4 linked regions of the Arabidopsis thaliana genome follow. The protein of the gene in region 3 interacts with the protein of the main gene of each other region in a pairwise test. Each region holds a gene or a part of one and is shown on either strand. Other genes may lie near its edges.

Region 1 (4,622 bases), on a different chromosome or scaffold from region 3:
CCTGTTTTGAATTCTGGATCACCTCTCAGAGATCCTACATGAAAGCATTATCTGGTTGGCTTCTAAGATGTTTCAGATGTGATCCTGACCCCGAAAAAGTTAGATTATCCTCATGTCTTCACCCGATATACCGAGTCTGCATTCAATGGTCAAGGTTGCTTAACAGCTTGAATGAAAAACCAGTTTTGGACAAACTTGAGTTCTTTGCCTCAGGGATGGGTTCAATATATGCAAGGCAAGTTAGGGAAGATCCAAACTGGAGTGGAAGCGGGTCAAGGAGATACTCCGGGTCAGAAAGCATGGAGCTTGTAGTGGCTGATAAGGGAGAAGAAGATGTTGTGATGACTGCTGAGAAACTTGCAGAGGTTGCTGTGAAGGTTCTCTGCCATGGAATGTCTGTTGCAGTTAGTTCACTAGCTGAGTTTTCCATCAACTCGGCCGATGAACACTCGAAGCTTGTTAGCCAACCAGCAGACGATGCGTCGGAGCAGCAGCCCCCGGATGTAAATTTCAATTCCTAGTACTTGTTATTAATTTTGTTTGGTTTTAGAGAGTTTAGAATTAGGTAGGTTTTTGGCATCATCTTTTGCTATCAGAAGATAGTTTCTTAGATGGATGAGATTTGTATTATTTAGTAAGACAAATAGAGTTAGTTCAGTTGATTCTGAGGATGTGTACCAAGAGTCTTCTAATGTTCCTCGGTATTTTATCCGGTGAATCGGTTCCCATGATGTGCCTTAAAAACCAATGAAATTTATATAAAAGCCAAAAGCTCTCCTTCAGAACGAAAAGTCGAAAACCATTATAATGTGACTAAATCTCACATCTGTATCCTCTCCATAACTAAGAGTTCAAGAAGAAAAAAGCGTAGAGATTACTGGTTATGTTTTTATCTTAGTCTCAGAGAGTTCGCCTGAGAGTTACCGGTCCATTTAATAAGAAAAGCTTTAGTTTAGTCATCTTCATCTTCATACTCCAGTTCATCAGAACTACCTCCTCCCATCACTGATACGTAAATGACGACAGCTAGAAACTGAGCAGCTAGAAAGAACCTTGCTCTTTTCTTAAATTTTTTCTCCTCTTCGGTCTTTTCTACCTTTGGTTTGCTCTTTGGCTTCGAACCTGAACAAAAGATGAAATTCACTTCCTTCACAGGCTTAAACATATCCAATGAATGTTGCATATATGACAGATATATAATATGATGAAATATATATGATATGGACGTTGAAGGTTAGATGTGTCTTACTCTTTCTTGGAAATGAGGAAGGGAATGAGTGAAGTGGAGGTGAAGGAGATGAAGAAGAGGCTTCAAGGAACTCTGACTTAAGTTTCTCAGCATATCGCACAAGATTACTATGTTCCAGAAGTTTGCACCGAAGCACTGATGTAACCTGATCATGCACCATTAAGAAAACTACTTCATCTAAATAGTTCTAAGGCTAAATTCAACCTGATAAACCCATAACTGAGAAATATATTGGTGAAATTTAAAGCTGCTCACTGGTAACGCTTGGATTATAAAAAGTATGTGCGAGAGTAAGAAAGCATCCAAACTCGATGGCCTGTGGGAAGAGAATAATATAAACATTGTCAATCTTTTACAAAAAGGCTTAAGGGAAAGAATCCAGTTCCGGAATGTGATTGCAATACCTGTCTTCAAAGAGAAACTTCTGCTCACCTAACCTAGTCGACAAAGCTTCATATGCCTCACTTGCTCTCTTGTATATCTGTTCACATTTAAGACTATGAACTTTAATAACTAGTTCAAATGCTCACAAATATAAACCACAGGTCTTCTAAAGTAACAACAAAACTTAAACAAACCCGACCTGTTTTTCTCTTTGCTCTGCGTTCTCTTTGGTGATTCCTAAACGGTTCTTTGCCAAGTATGTCTGCTTATAAAACAGGACCTTGCTGATCACCCAAGGAAGATCTGAATAGTAGATTTTCGATGTAGATATCCCCTCGGTACCAACCCATATCTCATAGGTAAGCGCTTCTTCTAGCCAAGACACAATAAGAGCCTTCAAAGATAAATAATCCGAAAGAGACTGTAGCTGAGAGTCCAGATTAACAATCCCATCTTTCTTCAGTTTTTCAATTACTCCTCCATCTTCATTGTTATATGCAACATATGTATCACTTTCAAAGTACGGCAGTTCATCTATATTAAAAACAAATGATTAACATTGTCAATACACAAGCTTATAAATATTGAATGCACAAATTTGTAAATCCGTGAACAAAGGATTACGAAGTGTCTAGAGATATTATCAAACATAACATAGAAATTCTGAAGATATTGTTAATATACAAACTCAATAGCTAAATCAAACAACTAATTTCTTCTGAACAAGTATGAAACATCATCATTCTCTTCGAATTAACAATTACGATAACGAGGAATTCAACCAAAGCTATAACAAGAAATTATGATGAACACTTCCTATCCAGAAAAATTCACCAATGCATATATACACCTCAAAATTGAATTACTATTGCCTAAAAACCCTATCTAAACTCTGATTAACCTAAGAGCAGGATCTTAATAGTACGAATTCGAATCCAGAACTCAAAATTATCTTGTCTAGGATTCGAATCTCAATTCAAGCTAATAGAATTAACAATGTTCACTTCCAACAGATACACATCACGCAACCAAAACCTTAATCTAACAACAACCAAAATACGAAGCGAGGAATCAAAACAGAAGCAAACCTGAATCAGGGAAGGTTGAATTGAACGCAAGTTCAAAAGGTAGCTGGGCTAATTTCAGGTATATATAAGCAGGAAGACAATTAGGGCAAGCTGTTGGGAGATCGAAGGAAGGCTTCCTTGCCACCAAAGTATAAACATTCGTCTCTTGATCGCCTTCCATTATAGTGACTCGTATGTGTGAGAGCTCTGGTCAAAAGAAGAAGAAGTACTCAAGTAAGTTCGATCGTCGATAGAGAGAGATGGGGCGAGAAGAGAAGATCCAGTCGAGTCCGGGTCTGGGTTAAGGTTTAGTCGGTCGGGTTTAAAACTAGGGTTTATTAATACGATAACTCATTTTGGGCTTTAAAAGGCCCACAAATTACCCATTAAGACAAAACTACTGGAGGAGGAGACTCGGAGAAAGTGGAATTGTTTTCTCCTTTTTGTTAGTTTGTAAAAACTAAAATTACTGTGTAACAGTGTAAAATACATCATCCACATTTTTTTTCTTCAAGATGACTTTATAAAAATAAACTCAACTTAAATTCAGAAGATATAATCAAAACTGGCGATGTGGGCTTTTGAATTTAATGCTATGAAGTTAGTATTTTGGATTTACCATTTCTTTTTAGAGTTTATGATATATACTTAAGGATTTAGTTTAGAATTTATACTTTGGAATATACTTGCATAAAAAAGTATAACACATTCCCTAATAGTGATATGAATTTTATGTTATATGTTCTTACCTCGTTTTTTTTCATTTTTTCGTGGAAATATATATTCATCCACAATGTGAACAAAATAGAGAAGAAGGGTAATACGCGTGATCATATACAACCAACAAAACTAAACCTTATTCTCACTTCCACTAATTAAGCTGCTTCGAAGGAAACAAACTAAACCACGAGAAAAACATTTTTGAATTTTGACTAACAGCAAGAAAAATTCGTTGAATCCATATGATTCTGTGTACTATATAAACATTACTTTAGCACGAACTTCAAAAAGAGAAGAGAAAAAGAAAGGGGGTTTGTGTTATGGCTCCCATAACTTTTAGAAAATCTTACACTATAGTACCGGCCGAACCAACGTGGAGCGGTAGGTTTCCCTTAGCCGAGTGGGATCAAGTTGGTACAATTACTCACATTCCCACCCTTTACTTTTACGACAAGCCATCTGAATCTTTCCAAGGCAATGTAGTCGAAATCCTAAAAACCTCGTTGAGCCGTGTGCTAGTCCATTTTTACCCTATGGCTGGCCGTCTCAGATGGCTCCCTCGGGGACGGTTCGAGCTCAATTGTAACGCCGAGGGAGTGGAATTCATTGAAGCGGAATCTGAGGGGAAGCTTTCGGATTTCAAAGACTTCTCTCCTACGCCGGAATTCGAGAATCTTATGCCGCAAGTAAACTATAAAAACCCTATCGAAACGATTCCTCTATTTTTAGCTCAGGTAACCAAATTCAAATGCGGTGGAATAAGCCTTAGCGTCAACGTTTCCCACGCGATCGTAGATGGCCAAAGCGCGCTTCACTTAATATCGGAATGGGGAAGACTCGCGCGCGGTGAACCGTTAGAAACCGTTCCATTTCTAGACCGGAAAATCCTCTGGGCTGGTGAACCGCTCCCACCGTTTGTGTCGCCCCCAAAGTTCGACCACAAAGAGTTTGATCAGCCACCGTTTTTGATCGGAGAAACGGACAATGTAGAAGAGAGAAAGAAGAAAACGATTGTGGTGATGCTACCACTGAGCACATCTCAGCTGCAGAAGCTACGAAGTAAAGCCAACGGAAGCAAACACTCTGACCCGGCGAAAGGGTTTACAAGGTACGAGACCGTCACCGGACACGTGTGGAGGTGCGCGTGTAAAGCACGTGGCCACTCTCCGGAGCAACCAACGGCTCTAGGAATCTGTATAGAT
Region 2 (2,899 bases), on a different chromosome or scaffold from region 3:
GTTTCCAAGTCTCTCCAAAGACAATTCTAGTTATACTTCAAAAAAAAAAACATTATAAATATTTGTTTGTTTTAATTGCATCACAATTTATGAAAAATTAAAGGGTTTTGGTTAACAAAAAAAAAAGACTAGACTTGTTTGCCCACGTCAGGTCACCTGGTTCTGTCAGAAACTAGATTTGTTCAAAAACAAACCCTTTGTTTATATTTGTACATAGTACACTGGCGTTGGATCCGTATATTCGTTTCCCTTTTTTCTCCCAAAAGCAAACCAAGTTCTCCAATTTTACTATGTCAAACTCTAGAAAGACCAAAACCACTGTTGCAATGTCAATGATTCAGTAGAATTCAAACACTTCTTCATATAATACGCAAAAATCTAAAAGCAAAATCTTTATTTGTAATTTGGTCATTTCACATATAATAATAGGAAACATGACCATAATTGCTTTAAATTTTCTTTCTGTTAAAGTAATTTACACGTCTTACAAACAAAATTCCATTTTAGTCAAACCAAACATCGAATATCATTTACTTTAAATTGTTTTCAAGACTTTTCATTCATCATTAATCGCAAAAATCAATCGGTAACAACATCGATTTTTTTTTTTGATTGAAACTTCCATATTTGTTTTAAAGACAACTCTACATATTGGCATTGATATGAGCCGATAAGAGGATACATCAAACAATCTAAAAAACCTATCTTTCTTTAAAAGCAAATATCTATCTAATTCTACGGAGAGGCAGAGGCAGAGTCTGAAGAAAGACGAGAGAGCTCGTTCATGAGAAAGATGATACGAGAGTGGTAATCACGAGCCTGGTCTAAAGATTCTGCTTCAAGCTCGGCTAGCTGTGAGCAGAGACGCTCCTCCGCTTCTTCCGCCACCTGTGTCCGCCGCCACAACTGCAACATCTCTTTCTTCATCTCCTCCACAGCTTTCTCCATCTCTCCGTTCTTCCGTCGTAGCTCGTCCACTTCGGAAGCCGCCACCGTCACATAGTTTCCTCCTTTCCCCATTTTTAAGAACTTTTAAAGGTTTTCTAAAGATTTCTCCTTTTGGTTATTTTGGTCACTTTGAGTTTTTTTGTGTTTTGTTTTGGTTCTTGAACGTTCCTTATTAATAGGCGTCTTTGAGACTGGGGTTTGGGTGGGTTTTATGTCTAGGTTCAATGTATCTATATCTCTTCTTCTTCTTTCTTATTTCTGGTGAGTTATTTTCTTCCTCTAGATTCTAGAACATTTTCTCTTTTAAATTATTTTCGATATACACGTTGGGTCCAATTAATATTTTGGAATATTTTAGTGGTACCATATAATTGTTTTATTGGTTAGAGACAAATTTGTTTTTAGAGGAGACACGAGATAAGTTATAATAAAAATTTATCAATCAATATAGTAAAATGTATTGGTTCAGTCATAATAACTCTTGTCATTTCAATAATACATATGGCAACGGATTTAAAATGAAAAATATTTGTTTAAACTGATATTTTTTTTTTAAAATGGAGTATTTGCTTTCTAAGAATGAATAAATTTCTTTGTCTAATTGAATAAAGTGGATTAAAACATATTTTGGACCATTTTACTTTGATCTAATTGCTATACATATAAAGTAATGAATATTTCATATTTACTGGACCATAAATACTAGTAATTCAATCTATTTATACAAGTCTAAACTGTAGCTCGTAAGTAAAAGTAATGAACAATTCTTACATTATAGCCCCAATGAGCTGTCAATTTCATCAAAGACAACTATATGTTAATAGATCATAATAATACATCGTCTTAATAATGGTCCTAAACTCAGGAATAAGTTGTGCAAATATGTTTTCATATACGCATGTAAAGAAAAGATTGTGACTATTATTGAAATAACATGAGTTATATTTATATCCACCAACTCTTTATCCTCAAAGAGGATATATATATCCGCTGTATTATGCTAACATTACCATTCTTGCACTTGAAAAATGACTTTAATTAATTGAACATTTTATTACCATGAATTGAACAAAATTTCTGAAAATTGCTTCTGAAGCATCCAATTTTCAAGATTTTATATATTCATTCTAAAAACTTAATTCAATAAACTCATGTAACAACAAACTAATCGTTGAATATATTTTCTTCTCGAGAACGTTGACTGGACACTAAAAGAATGAAAGAGTAGTACTATTTGAATTTTCAATGAAACCCCACTTATTTCAAAGGGGAACTTCTTTTTTTTCTTTTTTCTTTCTTTTCTGTTTTGCTATTTCATAGAATATAGAGAAAATAATTGTTTTCCACTATTTCTCTTAATTGCTAAAAGGCATGTAGAAATCATTTTCTCACCTTTATATTTTCCACTAATATATTCCGCCAATTATAGCCATTAATTAACTTGGAGCAAAGCCTTTGTCGATGTAACCCACATTCCCACTTCTTTCTCTTAACTGGAGTATTGGACAATATCTCCCAAAGTCAAGGGCTGTCACGATTATACAGCTATTCTTGTATAGTTAAAGTTACGGCTACGATTCATAGTTCTTAAATTACTTATTAGCTATTTCTTTAGTATCTTTATTGGTGTGTATGGGGAAAACTAAGAAGACTTTGGTTATGAATGGTGTCATGAAGCATAATAAAATAATACGGTGCGGTTTGATTTTACTCTTGGTCATGTTTTTGTGAATCATATTTGGACAACACACCAACCTCAAGAAGTAGGGTGATTCAAGTATAAACTGAAAAATCATAAGCGTTAAATACCGATTAATACAATCATATATATATTTCGAAACTTCAAAACATTAGTCAAAATTTGATAACTCATTTATCCGTTACTCGCACCAAACTAATTAAGATATCTATTCAGCTTTTGTTCTATTCGTTCTACACCATTTATTCTTTA
Region 3 (5,020 bases):
TTCTAAAGCTTGCTCCTTTCTGTGATCTTGATGAAGCTCTAAGCTTGGCTCAAGTAGCGGTAGGAATCGTGTCTTCTAATCTTGATGGGGATAAACCGATCGAGAACTGCTCGATCTGCTGTGAAGACCGTCAGTCTGAGATGATGCTATCATTGAAATGCACTCACAAATTCTGTTCGCACTGCATGAAAACGTACGTTGAAGGGAAAGTAAAGACTTCAGAGGTTCCCATCAGGTGTCCTCAAGTGCAATGCAAGCATTATCTCTCAGCAGCGGAATGCAAATCGTTCCTTCCCGTCACTACTTTCAAATCATTCGAGGAAGCAAATGTGTGTAGTAAAAACAATGGGAAGATTTACTGCCCATATCCCAATTGCTCTTTTCTGTTAGACCCGCAAGAATGTCTATCATCAGGAAGGGCTAGCTCAAGCTCGTCTACTCAGTCAGAGAATAGCTGCTGTGTGGAGTGTCCAGTCTGTGAGAGGTTTGTGTGTGTGGACTGTGGTGTTCCTTGGCATGCTTCTATGAGCTGTGAAGAGTTTCAGATTCTTCCAGTTGATGAAAGATACCCAGATGATATTACATTGCATCGCTTGGCAAGGTATAAGAGGTGGAGGCGGTGTCAGCAATGCCGTATAATGATCGAGCTTGCTCAAGGCTGCAACCACATGACTTGCCGGTAAGACACACATATATATCTATGGCTACACATTGTTTTCCGTATCTATACATATTTGAACCACCAAAGTTAGGTTTTTGACTTCCAATAAAATATAGTTAGTCTTGACCCTTTAACTGCAGAATCACGGTATCGTAATAACCATATGATTCTAAGGTTTTTTTTTTCTCGCCTACGTTTAAATCTAGTATTCTAGAGCAAGTGTTTCTTTTGCGATTCTTACGCATATAAATGTCAAAACTCTCTGTGTTTTCCGCAGATGCGGGCATGAGTTTTGCTACTCGTGTGGAGCAGAGTACAGAGAAGGGCAACAGACTTGCACGTGTGCTTTTTGGGACGATGATGAAGAAGAACAAGAAAACGCAGTAGAGGAAAACACAATTCAAGAAGTTGAGCAATGGCCTTGGGACACATTTAACTCAATTCCAACTGTAATGGACGCGTACTCAGAGCAAGAAAGATCTCAGCTTGCTCTGATCCAAAGGTTCTTAGCAGGTGGAGGGTTTAGTCTCAGTGATCACCATACTACTTATCAGTCACCGCCGCCTCCATGTACAGAGTCATCATATGTTGAAGCCGCAATGAAAGATCTTCATCAGCTTCCTTGGCTTGAGAGGTTTGTGTCTGTTATAAGTGATGATTACTATGAAGAGTATAATAGCCAGTGAAAGTAGTAGAATTGTAATTTAATAGCCTTGAGGATCCGGCTTGGTTTGGTTCAGAGAGGCCAAACGAGAGTATCTCACTCTCGAAAGTAATTGTTGGGAGGGTTTTAGATTCTTGATGAACTCAAACAAACGAATTGTGATGAAACTATTTGCAATTATAAGAAGAAGAGTTTGCTCATCTCCATTCTACAAATCCTGCAAGAAAGATTAACACTCTTTTATATTCAGTGTTATGTTATGATATTTAATCTACCAAAATTTGGTTGAAGAACTAATCAAAATGAACTTGGTTAGCATCATCATATATATACCAACTACCAAGTAAAGAAAAAGTTTGATAAATTCAATTATTCATGCTCTTCAAATAAAATACAGAACCCATTAAAAAGGGTCCACTTATCATCAATCTACTCTTGCATTATCTTGAGTTTTTGTGTAGACATAACATAACCCATTTTATAAGTTATGACCTTATTAGAAAGGGTCCACTTATCATCAATCTACTTAGCATTTTGTGTATATTTCTCAAAGCTGACGTTATTTAAGACGTCATAGACCCACTTCACCACAACTCAAGTCGTCTTCAATTGCTGACGACATTGCTTACGGTTTTTGAATCGTCGTCACAAAATTTAGGAGATTGGATTAGGAATTGGCTCTTTCTTTACTATTCTCCAAAGACTTTACTATTTGGTCAGTCTTCTTATTTCTCACCTTTAGCTTTTAGATAAACCTCTGATTTTTTTCTCCCATCTGTTCTGAGATTGTCTTCTTCTTCTTGAAATCTTTTTCATTTGTGCAATGATTTTGAAGACTACCCATCTATTCAGTTCTTTCTCTTATGATTTAAGTTTCATTTAGTTTTTTTTTCTCATCCGCCATTTTCGTTGACTTTTTGAAGCATTTCTCGAATTGACTTTGTTCTTCACATTGATTCATTAGAATGTTCTTTCATAAAGTTTGGATCTTTTCTTCAGGGCTTGATTAATTTCATATCTATGATCTTCTCTGTATTGTTTTTGATCCAATCACTTCTCAAAATTTGATCCTTGTCATTGGATTTAGATTTAGGGTTTTTGTATCCTTGGGGATTTGAAGATCAAAAACAGAGTCTTTGAGTGATACTTCTGGGGAACAAAATGGCTGCAACTGCAATAGAGCCATCTTCATCTATAAGTTTCACATCTTCTCACTTATCAAACCCTTCTCCTGTTGTTACTACTTATCACTCAGCTGCTAATCTTGAAGAGCTCAGCTCTAACTTGGAGCAGCTTCTCACTAATCCAGATTGCGATTACACTGACGCAGAGATCATCATTGAAGAAGAAGCTAACCCTGTGAGTGTTCATAGATGTGTTTTAGCTGCTAGGAGCAAGTTTTTTCTTGATCTGTTTAAGAAAGATAAAGATAGTAGTGAGAAGAAACCTAAGTATCAAATGAAAGATTTATTACCATATGGAAATGTGGGACGTGAGGCATTTCTGCATTTCTTGAGCTATATCTACACTGGGAGGTTAAAGCCTTTTCCTATCGAGGTTTCAACTTGTGTTGATTCAGTTTGTGCTCATGATTCTTGTAAACCGGCCATTGATTTTGCTGTTGAGTTGATGTATGCTTCATTTGTGTTCCAAATCCCGGATCTTGTTTCGTCATTTCAGGTTTGAGATAAAGTTTCTTTGTGATTTTGCTGGTAAATAATCTGTTCTTGATTGGTCAAGGCTGTAATGTTGTGTGTTGTTGTGTCTGCAGCGGAAGCTTCGTAACTATGTTGAGAAGTCACTAGTAGAGAATGTTCTTCCTATCCTCTTAGTTGCGTTTCATTGTGATTTGACACAGCTTCTTGATCAATGCATTGAGAGAGTGGCGAGATCAGACTTAGACAGATTCTGTATCGAAAAGGAGCTTCCTTTAGAAGTATTGGAAAAAATCAAACAGCTTCGAGTTAAGTCGGTGAACATACCCGAGGTGGAGGATAAATCGATAGAGAGAACAGGGAAAGTACTCAAGGCATTGGATTCAGATGATGTAGAACTCGTGAAGCTTCTTTTGACTGAGTCAGATATAACTCTAGACCAAGCCAATGGTCTACATTATGCAGTGGCATACAGTGATCCGAAAGTTGTGACACAGGTTCTTGATCTAGATATGGCTGATGTTAATTTCAGAAATTCCAGGGGGTATACGGTTCTTCATATTGCTGCTATGCGTAGAGAGCCAACAATTATCATACCACTTATTCAAAAAGGAGCTAATGCTTCAGATTTCACGTTTGATGGACGCAGTGCGGTAAATATATGTAGGAGACTCACTAGGCCGAAAGATTATCATACCAAAACCTCAAGGAAAGAACCTAGTAAATACCGCTTATGCATCGATATCTTGGAAAGGGAAATTAGAAGGAATCCATTGGTTAGTGGGGATACACCCACTTGTTCCCATTCGATGCCCGAGGATCTCCAAATGAGGTTGTTATACTTAGAAAAGCGAGGTATTGACCTAGTCGATATATATATTTCTCATAGCTTAAGGTTGATGTCTCTTTATTGAATTCTTGTATGTGTCATTGCAGTGGGACTTGCTCAGTTGTTCTTCCCAGCAGAAGCCAATGTGGCTATGGACGTTGCTAATGTTGAAGGGACAAGCGAGTGCACAGGTCTTCTAACTCCACCTCCATCAAATGATACAACTGAAAACTTGGGTAAAGTCGATTTAAATGAAACGCCTTATGTGCAAACGAAAAGAATGCTTACACGTATGAAAGCCCTCATGAAAACAGGTAAAAGCTTAAGGAAATGTACTTTCAAGTTTTATTCTCTGACCACAAGATTGACTGATTCGAAACCGTTCAACAACGCAGTTGAGACAGGTCGGAGATACTTCCCATCTTGTTATGAGGTTCTGGATAAGTACATGGATCAGTATATGGACGAAGAAATCCCTGATATGTCGTATCCCGAGAAAGGCACTGTGAAAGAGAGAAGACAGAAGAGGATGAGATATAACGAGCTGAAGAACGACGTTAAAAAAGCATATAGCAAAGACAAAGTCGCGCGGTCTTGTCTTTCTTCTTCATCACCAGCTTCTTCTCTTAGAGAAGCCTTAGAGAATCCAACATGATCTTGTCCCAGATAAGTAATGCTACTAGAGATAGTTCCTTGGAAGAAATTAGCTATTTTATAGGTTTTGGTTTAGAAAACAGTGGAGATCCCATTTTGGTATTCAGGTTTATTACATGGTTTAGGTTTGATTTTGTATTAAAGGAGATGGATTTTTGAAATGTATAAAGCAAAACCTTTCCTTTTTGCTTTGCTTCTTTCTTTAGTCAGAAAATTGTAATATATGGAAGTGAAATCGAAGCAACGATTGAGCAGAACGAGAAGCACAAGAAAAATGTTAAGCTAGTTAAAAGATTTTCAAGCTTCTTGCAAGAGAATTACTAAACAGGCACTTTCTCAGGGGAAAGATCCTCGTGTTGAATTAATCTCAATACCAAAATCTAAGCCTGCTTCTGATAGCAAAACAGGAACTAGAGAATAGAGATAGTTCCTTTGAAAAGATTGAAGATCCCATTTTGGCTTTAGGTTCAATTTGTATTACAAGGGATTTTGATTTTTAAAATGTGTAAAGGAAAAATATGATGCTCTGAATCCAAATCATTTAGAACATATTGCTT
Region 4 (5,066 bases), 2.9 Mb from region 3:
CACATACACGAGAGGCAAAACCTACAACTTCAGGATCGCTTGTCCACAACTAAACCCTATCACTAATGAGTAAGAAAATCCACAAAATGTTGATTCTCCCCAAGTAAAATTCATAGTAAACTACCACTACAAATCCAAGTCACATGCCTAGATCGATGAAATTCGAAATCTATATAACAGGAGAAAGAAGCTGGAGAAATCTGGGAAAAAAATACACAAAGTAACAGACATAAACCTATAGAAATCAACGGATTTGATCTTGCTCGTGGACACCATTTTCGTCGGAGAGGGAGTCAACTAAGAAACAACAGCTGCTTGGCTAAGTTCTAAAAGCTTCGAGGACGAAGCACCTCCCTTGTGATTTATCTTCAGCGTTCAGATTTGAAACTCCTCCCCAATCTACTAAATTACAACACTAGCCCCCTATGCTTTGACCCGTTTCCCATTTAACCCAAAATAGTTTCTATCAGAACAAATTAGTACAAACAATACACAAGTTTGAATTTACAATGATCACCATTAAAGAGCAGAGTTGTTTATAAATCATTCGATCAGAGTTGTTTTTTCTAAGCATTGGTGAAATTAAGATATGAAAGGGAAAACCAGCTAAGTCAAGAACAAAACAGTTCGAATTGCTTATAAGAACATCAAACGTTCCATAGAACATTTTTATTTATATGATACATTCATAACACTTATTCTCTTCTTAACCCTTTGATCCAAACTTTTGGATTCCCGACCATAAGCAAGGAGAACTAACAAACTACATAAAAGAAATAGCACTGTGTGAAAATGAAAGTAATCTACACTCTTTAAACTTCGAGATACTTGATTGCAGTCTGAACATCCTTGTCGCCTCTCCCACTGAAGTTTAATACCACTCTGGCTCCATCAGGTAACGTCGGACAAAGCTTCTCCAGATGGGCCAATGCGTGCGATGTCTCCAATGCCGGGATTATTCCCTCCAACCGAGACACTCTCTTGAAAGCTACACGCATAGATTAGAATACACAATGCAAGTTCTCATGAGTTGTGAAAGAAACATCTAAAAGGAGAAAAATGAAGTGTCAAGTAAGTACCTTCTAATGCTTCTTCATCAGTAACGCTAAAGTATTCAGCCCTTCCCACGTCTTTAAGGAAACTATGCTCAGGTCCGACTCCAGGGTAGTCCAATCTGATAACATCAACTTTTACTCTTTAGATACAGGTGACCAGATACATGTGGCTTAAAACCAACTTTGAACAGAGAAGAATCTCTTACCCGGCACTGATGGAGTGTGGTTCAATGATTTGGCCATCATCATCTTGCAGCAAGTAACTCATAGCTCCGTGGAGTACACCGACATCTCCTTTTGTCAATGTGGCAGCATGTTTGCCGCTGTCCAATCCAAATCCAGCGGCTTCCACACCAATCATTCGAACCTCTGTGTCATCGACAAATTCATGGAAGAGTCCCATAGCATTTGAACCACCACCGACACAAGCAACCAGAACATCAGGCTTCCCGCCCCATTTCTCCATCGCTTGTTTCCTTGTTTCTTTACCAATCACCGCGTGAAAGTCTCTGACCATCATAGGATAAGGATGAGGACCCGCAACGGATCCCAATATGTAATGTGTAGTCTCCACATTGGTCACCCAATCCCTTATAGCTTCAGAAGTTGCGTCCTTTAAAGTGGCTGTTCCAGAGTGGACTCCCCTTACCTACAAGCATCAGACTTAGATAACAATTTGAAAGCATTGCGATTTTGCAAGGTTTACGCAGAGAATTCACATCACCTCAGCACCGAGAAGACGCATTCTGAACACATTAAGAGCTTGTCTCTCCATGTCTTGAGCACCCATGTAGATAATGCACTGCAAACCGAAACGTGCACACACAGTAGCTGTGGCTACACCATGTTGACCAGCCCCTGTCTCAGCAATAATTCGTTTCTTTCCTAGACGCTTGGCGAGAAGAGCCTGAGCCACAGCGTTGTTGATCTTGTGAGCACCGGTGTGGTTCAAGTCTTCCCTTTTGAGGTATATGAGCGGCCCTTCACCGTTTTCACGGCGGTAATGCTCCGTGAGCCTCTCTGCAAAGTAAAGAGGACTTTCCCGACCAACGTAGTCTTTCAAGATCTCTGCTAATTCTCTCTACAGATTCATCAAACATTAGTTAGACATTGCCCAACAAACGAACTAACCAAAAAGACTTCTAACTTACATCACACAGAAGCATGTAATGCTGAAGAAACTAAGAATATGAAATGAATGTCGTTTCCAGATTTCTGGAAAAATACAACACTTTCCCAGAATTACATCCTACATCGCAAACAAATCGATTTGTCCCATACGGCTTAACATTGTTTGGCAGATTATTTTTTAGAATTGGAACAAAAAAATCCGTTTTTTAAACTTTATCACTAGCCATGGCAATGACAACGCTTGAATCAGAAACTCACAAAGCCAAATCATTTCGAATCGATTCAAAAACTATGAACAAGATGGAAACAAAATCAGCAGGCATACCTGGAAATCTTCGTCGGTGGCGAGCGAATAGAAAGCCGTTTCGAGTTCAGAGAGGGCGTGCATTAGAGTTTCGGGGACGTACTTGCCGCCAAACTTCCCGAAACGACCGAATGAATCAGGTCGTTGCCACATAGTCGGATCAGATCCAGCGGCCTTAATCTTCTCCGAGTCCGCCATGACAACAGCTGGGTCCTTAGCGATGGTGCAGGAGACGGAGAACGAAGAAGAGGACCGTGAGCGAGCCGATGGCAGAGGCGTAAATTTGGGGAGTTTGGAGGGTGATCTCAGATGGGTTAATTCGGAAGAAGCTGAAACGGAGGAGGGTCTGAAAGTAGCAGCGGTGCTTGCGGTGGCCATTTAGTGAATCTTTTATCTAGCTTTCAAACACGAAGACAAATGTTTTGCTGACAAAAACCTTGAAAGTGAGGGTTCTTTTTATAGATTCGTTATGTAACACTTAAGTTTTTTGACCAGAAATTCAATAAAATAGTGGAGGAAATCGGTAGTTCGGTACCACGTTAACTTATTTGTGAACAACAGAAAATGAGAGAAGAGTCAGAAGAGGTTGGTGAGAATAGGGCGGTGTACATTTTGGGGGTTGGAGTGTTTATCACATGCCTAATTTTAGTGTTATCTATTTTCTTTTGGTAAACGTCCTCTTTGGACAAAATGACGTATAGCAGTTTTTGCTAATATGATTCAAAGGCTTCTAATAGTGCTAATGAACGACGTACTACTACTCGTTTTGTTTTTGGTGGAGTTGATAAATAAAAGGATTACAAAGACATGTACTTATGGTTAAATTAATACAAATGAACTAACTATATAGTTTTAGTTTAATTTCATGATTTTTAAACGTTTTCCAAAACTTTATTAAGTTTCTTGTATTTTTTATTTTGTACTTAAAATAATAAAATGTGGTTGATCTTTTAATGACCAACATGCAAATAGTCAAAATGACACTAATCGATTACATATTCGAACCAAAAAAAATAAATATCAAATCGGTAAGGTTTGTCTCTTATCGATTTTACCGTCTTAACTTGTCATTTAGGCAGACCTTGTTGGTCCGATGAACCACCAGCCTCTGATCCATTTATGATTTACACACGTGCATTAAACACCAGACGAAGGCCTTTGAGTCGTTGAAGCTAAAAAATGAATGGTATATGCATGCGGACTCACTCGGAAGCCTCTCCAATGTGCATTGCTCGACTCTAACTCCAACAAAGTGTACGTAACGTAACAATCTTAACGACAACCTAAACAACTAATAGCAATCACAATTCCTTAAAGCATTCGTTAGTGTACCATGTAAAATTCCTTGAACCATTCATTATTGACTTATAGTACCATGTAAAAAATTCCTTAATCCATATATCAAGCCATGTTTTTGTACAAGAAACCAATTTGACATTTTGAATAATTAGATTCTTTATTTTTATTTTTTTTAACTTAAATTTTGAAATAAAAATTAACAATCCATAATGTAGAACGTGATGTCTCTAAATTTGATAATGTCCGAACTTATTTGCATGGATGTTTATATATTACACTAGAACTCGTATTATTGATTATTAATTTAAACGAAGTATCACGAATTTAAACTATATTTTCATACTTTGTCTTTCACACCCGATTTTCCGCGACAAATGCAAAATCCAGATACTGAAAATTATGCAATATTAAAATTTGAAAAAATTGAAAAAGTGAAATACTAATAAAATTGAGCGACACATTTCTGATTCCAGTCTTAACTGTTACACTTTCGAGTGTCAGATCTCGTCTTTCTTCTCCAACTCGTCTATCTTCTTCTCCGATTAATCTAATCTCTCGTCGGAGATTTAGAAATGAGCACACCTACAACTTCCGGTTCGGCGGCGAAACCGACGAGACCAGCACGGTCGTCGAGTTTAGCAACTAGGTCATGTTCCAATTCCGGTTCCCTCACTTCGTTCCAAGCAATGGTGGAGCTGAAGCAAAAGATCCTTACCTCAATCTCTAAGCTCGCCGATCGAGATACATACCAGATCGCCGTCGAGGATCTCGAGAAAACTATTCAATCTCTCACTCCCGAAACCCTACCGATGTTTCTCAATTGTCTCTACGATTCGTGCTCCGATCCGAAACCTGCAGTGAAGAAGGAGTGTCTCCATCTTCTCTCCTACGTTTGTAGTCTCCATTGCGATTCGACGGCTGCGCATCTCACTAAAATCATCGCTCAGATAGTTAAACGGTTGAAGGATTCTGATTCTGGAGTTAGGGATGCTTGTAGAGATACGATTGGTGCTTTGTCTGGGATTTATCTCAAGGGAAAAGAAGAGGGGACTAATACTGGTTCAGCGTCGTTAGCGGTGGGTTTGTTCGTTAAGCCATTGTTTGAGGCAATGGGAGAGCAGAACAAAGTGGTACAATCTGGAGCTTCAATGTGTATGGCTAGGATGGTTGAATCAGCTGCTAGTCCTCCAGTTACTTCTTTCCAAAAGCTTTGCCCTAGAATTTGCAAGCTATTGAGCAATTCCAGTTTCCTTGCTAAGGCTTCCCTTTTGCCAGTT

What was found.
Region 1: the proteins of NPR4 (region 3) and AT2G19080 interact in binary tests that used the Arabidopsis thaliana proteins (3 or more experiments, as listed by UniProt).
Region 2: the proteins of NPR4 (region 3) and LSU2 interact in binary tests that used the Arabidopsis thaliana proteins (3 or more experiments, as listed by UniProt).
Region 4: the proteins of NPR4 (region 3) and TSB2 interact in binary tests that used the Arabidopsis thaliana proteins (3 or more experiments, as listed by UniProt).

The regions. Positions count from the first base shown.
Region 1 is NC_003071.7:8,261,077-8,265,698, reverse strand, and holds AT2G19080 (metaxin-like protein), read right to left. Parts: upstream 3,000-4,622; 5' UTR 2,882-2,999; coding exon 2,722-2,881; intron 2,168-2,721; coding exon 1,833-2,167; intron 1,731-1,832; coding exon 1,654-1,730; intron 1,566-1,653; coding exon 1,505-1,565; coding exon of another isoform or gene 1,427-1,504; exon of another isoform or gene 1,395-1,426; coding exon 1,250-1,394; intron 1,123-1,249; coding exon 953-1,122; 3' UTR 561-952; downstream 1-560. Other genes in the region: AT2G19090 (DUF630 family protein (DUF630 and DUF632)), read left to right, coding at 1-521; SHT (spermidine hydroxycinnamoyl transferase), read left to right, coding at 3,741-4,622. UniProt on the Arabidopsis thaliana protein: Involved in transport of proteins into the mitochondrion.
Region 2 is NC_003076.8:8,442,737-8,445,635, forward strand, and holds LSU2 (response to low sulfur 2), read right to left. Parts: upstream 1,366-2,899; 5' UTR 1,021-1,365; coding exon 736-1,020; 3' UTR 543-735; downstream 1-542. UniProt on the Arabidopsis thaliana protein: May be involved in defense responses monitoring. Probably implicated into osmotic stress signaling.
Region 3 is NC_003075.7:10,695,710-10,700,729, reverse strand, and holds NPR4 (NPR1-like protein 4), read left to right. Parts: upstream 1-1,937; 5' UTR 1,938-2,486; coding exon 2,487-3,005; intron 3,006-3,096; coding exon 3,097-3,835; intron 3,836-3,916; coding exon 3,917-4,464; downstream 4,465-5,020. Other genes in the region: AT4G19670 (RING/U-box superfamily protein), read left to right, coding at 1-679, 939-1,347. UniProt on the Arabidopsis thaliana protein: Salicylic acid (SA)-binding substrate-specific adapter of an E3 ubiquitin-protein ligase complex (CUL3-RBX1-BTB) which mediates the ubiquitination and subsequent proteasomal degradation of NPR1 in the absence of SA.
Region 4 is NC_003075.7:13,584,366-13,589,431, reverse strand, and holds TSB2 (tryptophan synthase beta-subunit 2), read right to left. Parts: upstream 3,165-5,066; 5' UTR 2,869-3,164; coding exon 2,512-2,868; intron 2,137-2,511; coding exon 1,780-2,136; intron 1,705-1,779; coding exon 1,262-1,704; intron 1,175-1,261; coding exon 1,080-1,174; intron 989-1,079; coding exon 813-988; 3' UTR 535-812; downstream 1-534. Other genes in the region: PDIL5-4 (PDI-like 5-4), read right to left, coding at 1-38, 236-276; TOR1 (ARM repeat superfamily protein), read left to right, coding at 4,362-5,066. UniProt on the Arabidopsis thaliana protein: The beta subunit is responsible for the synthesis of L-tryptophan from indole and L-serine.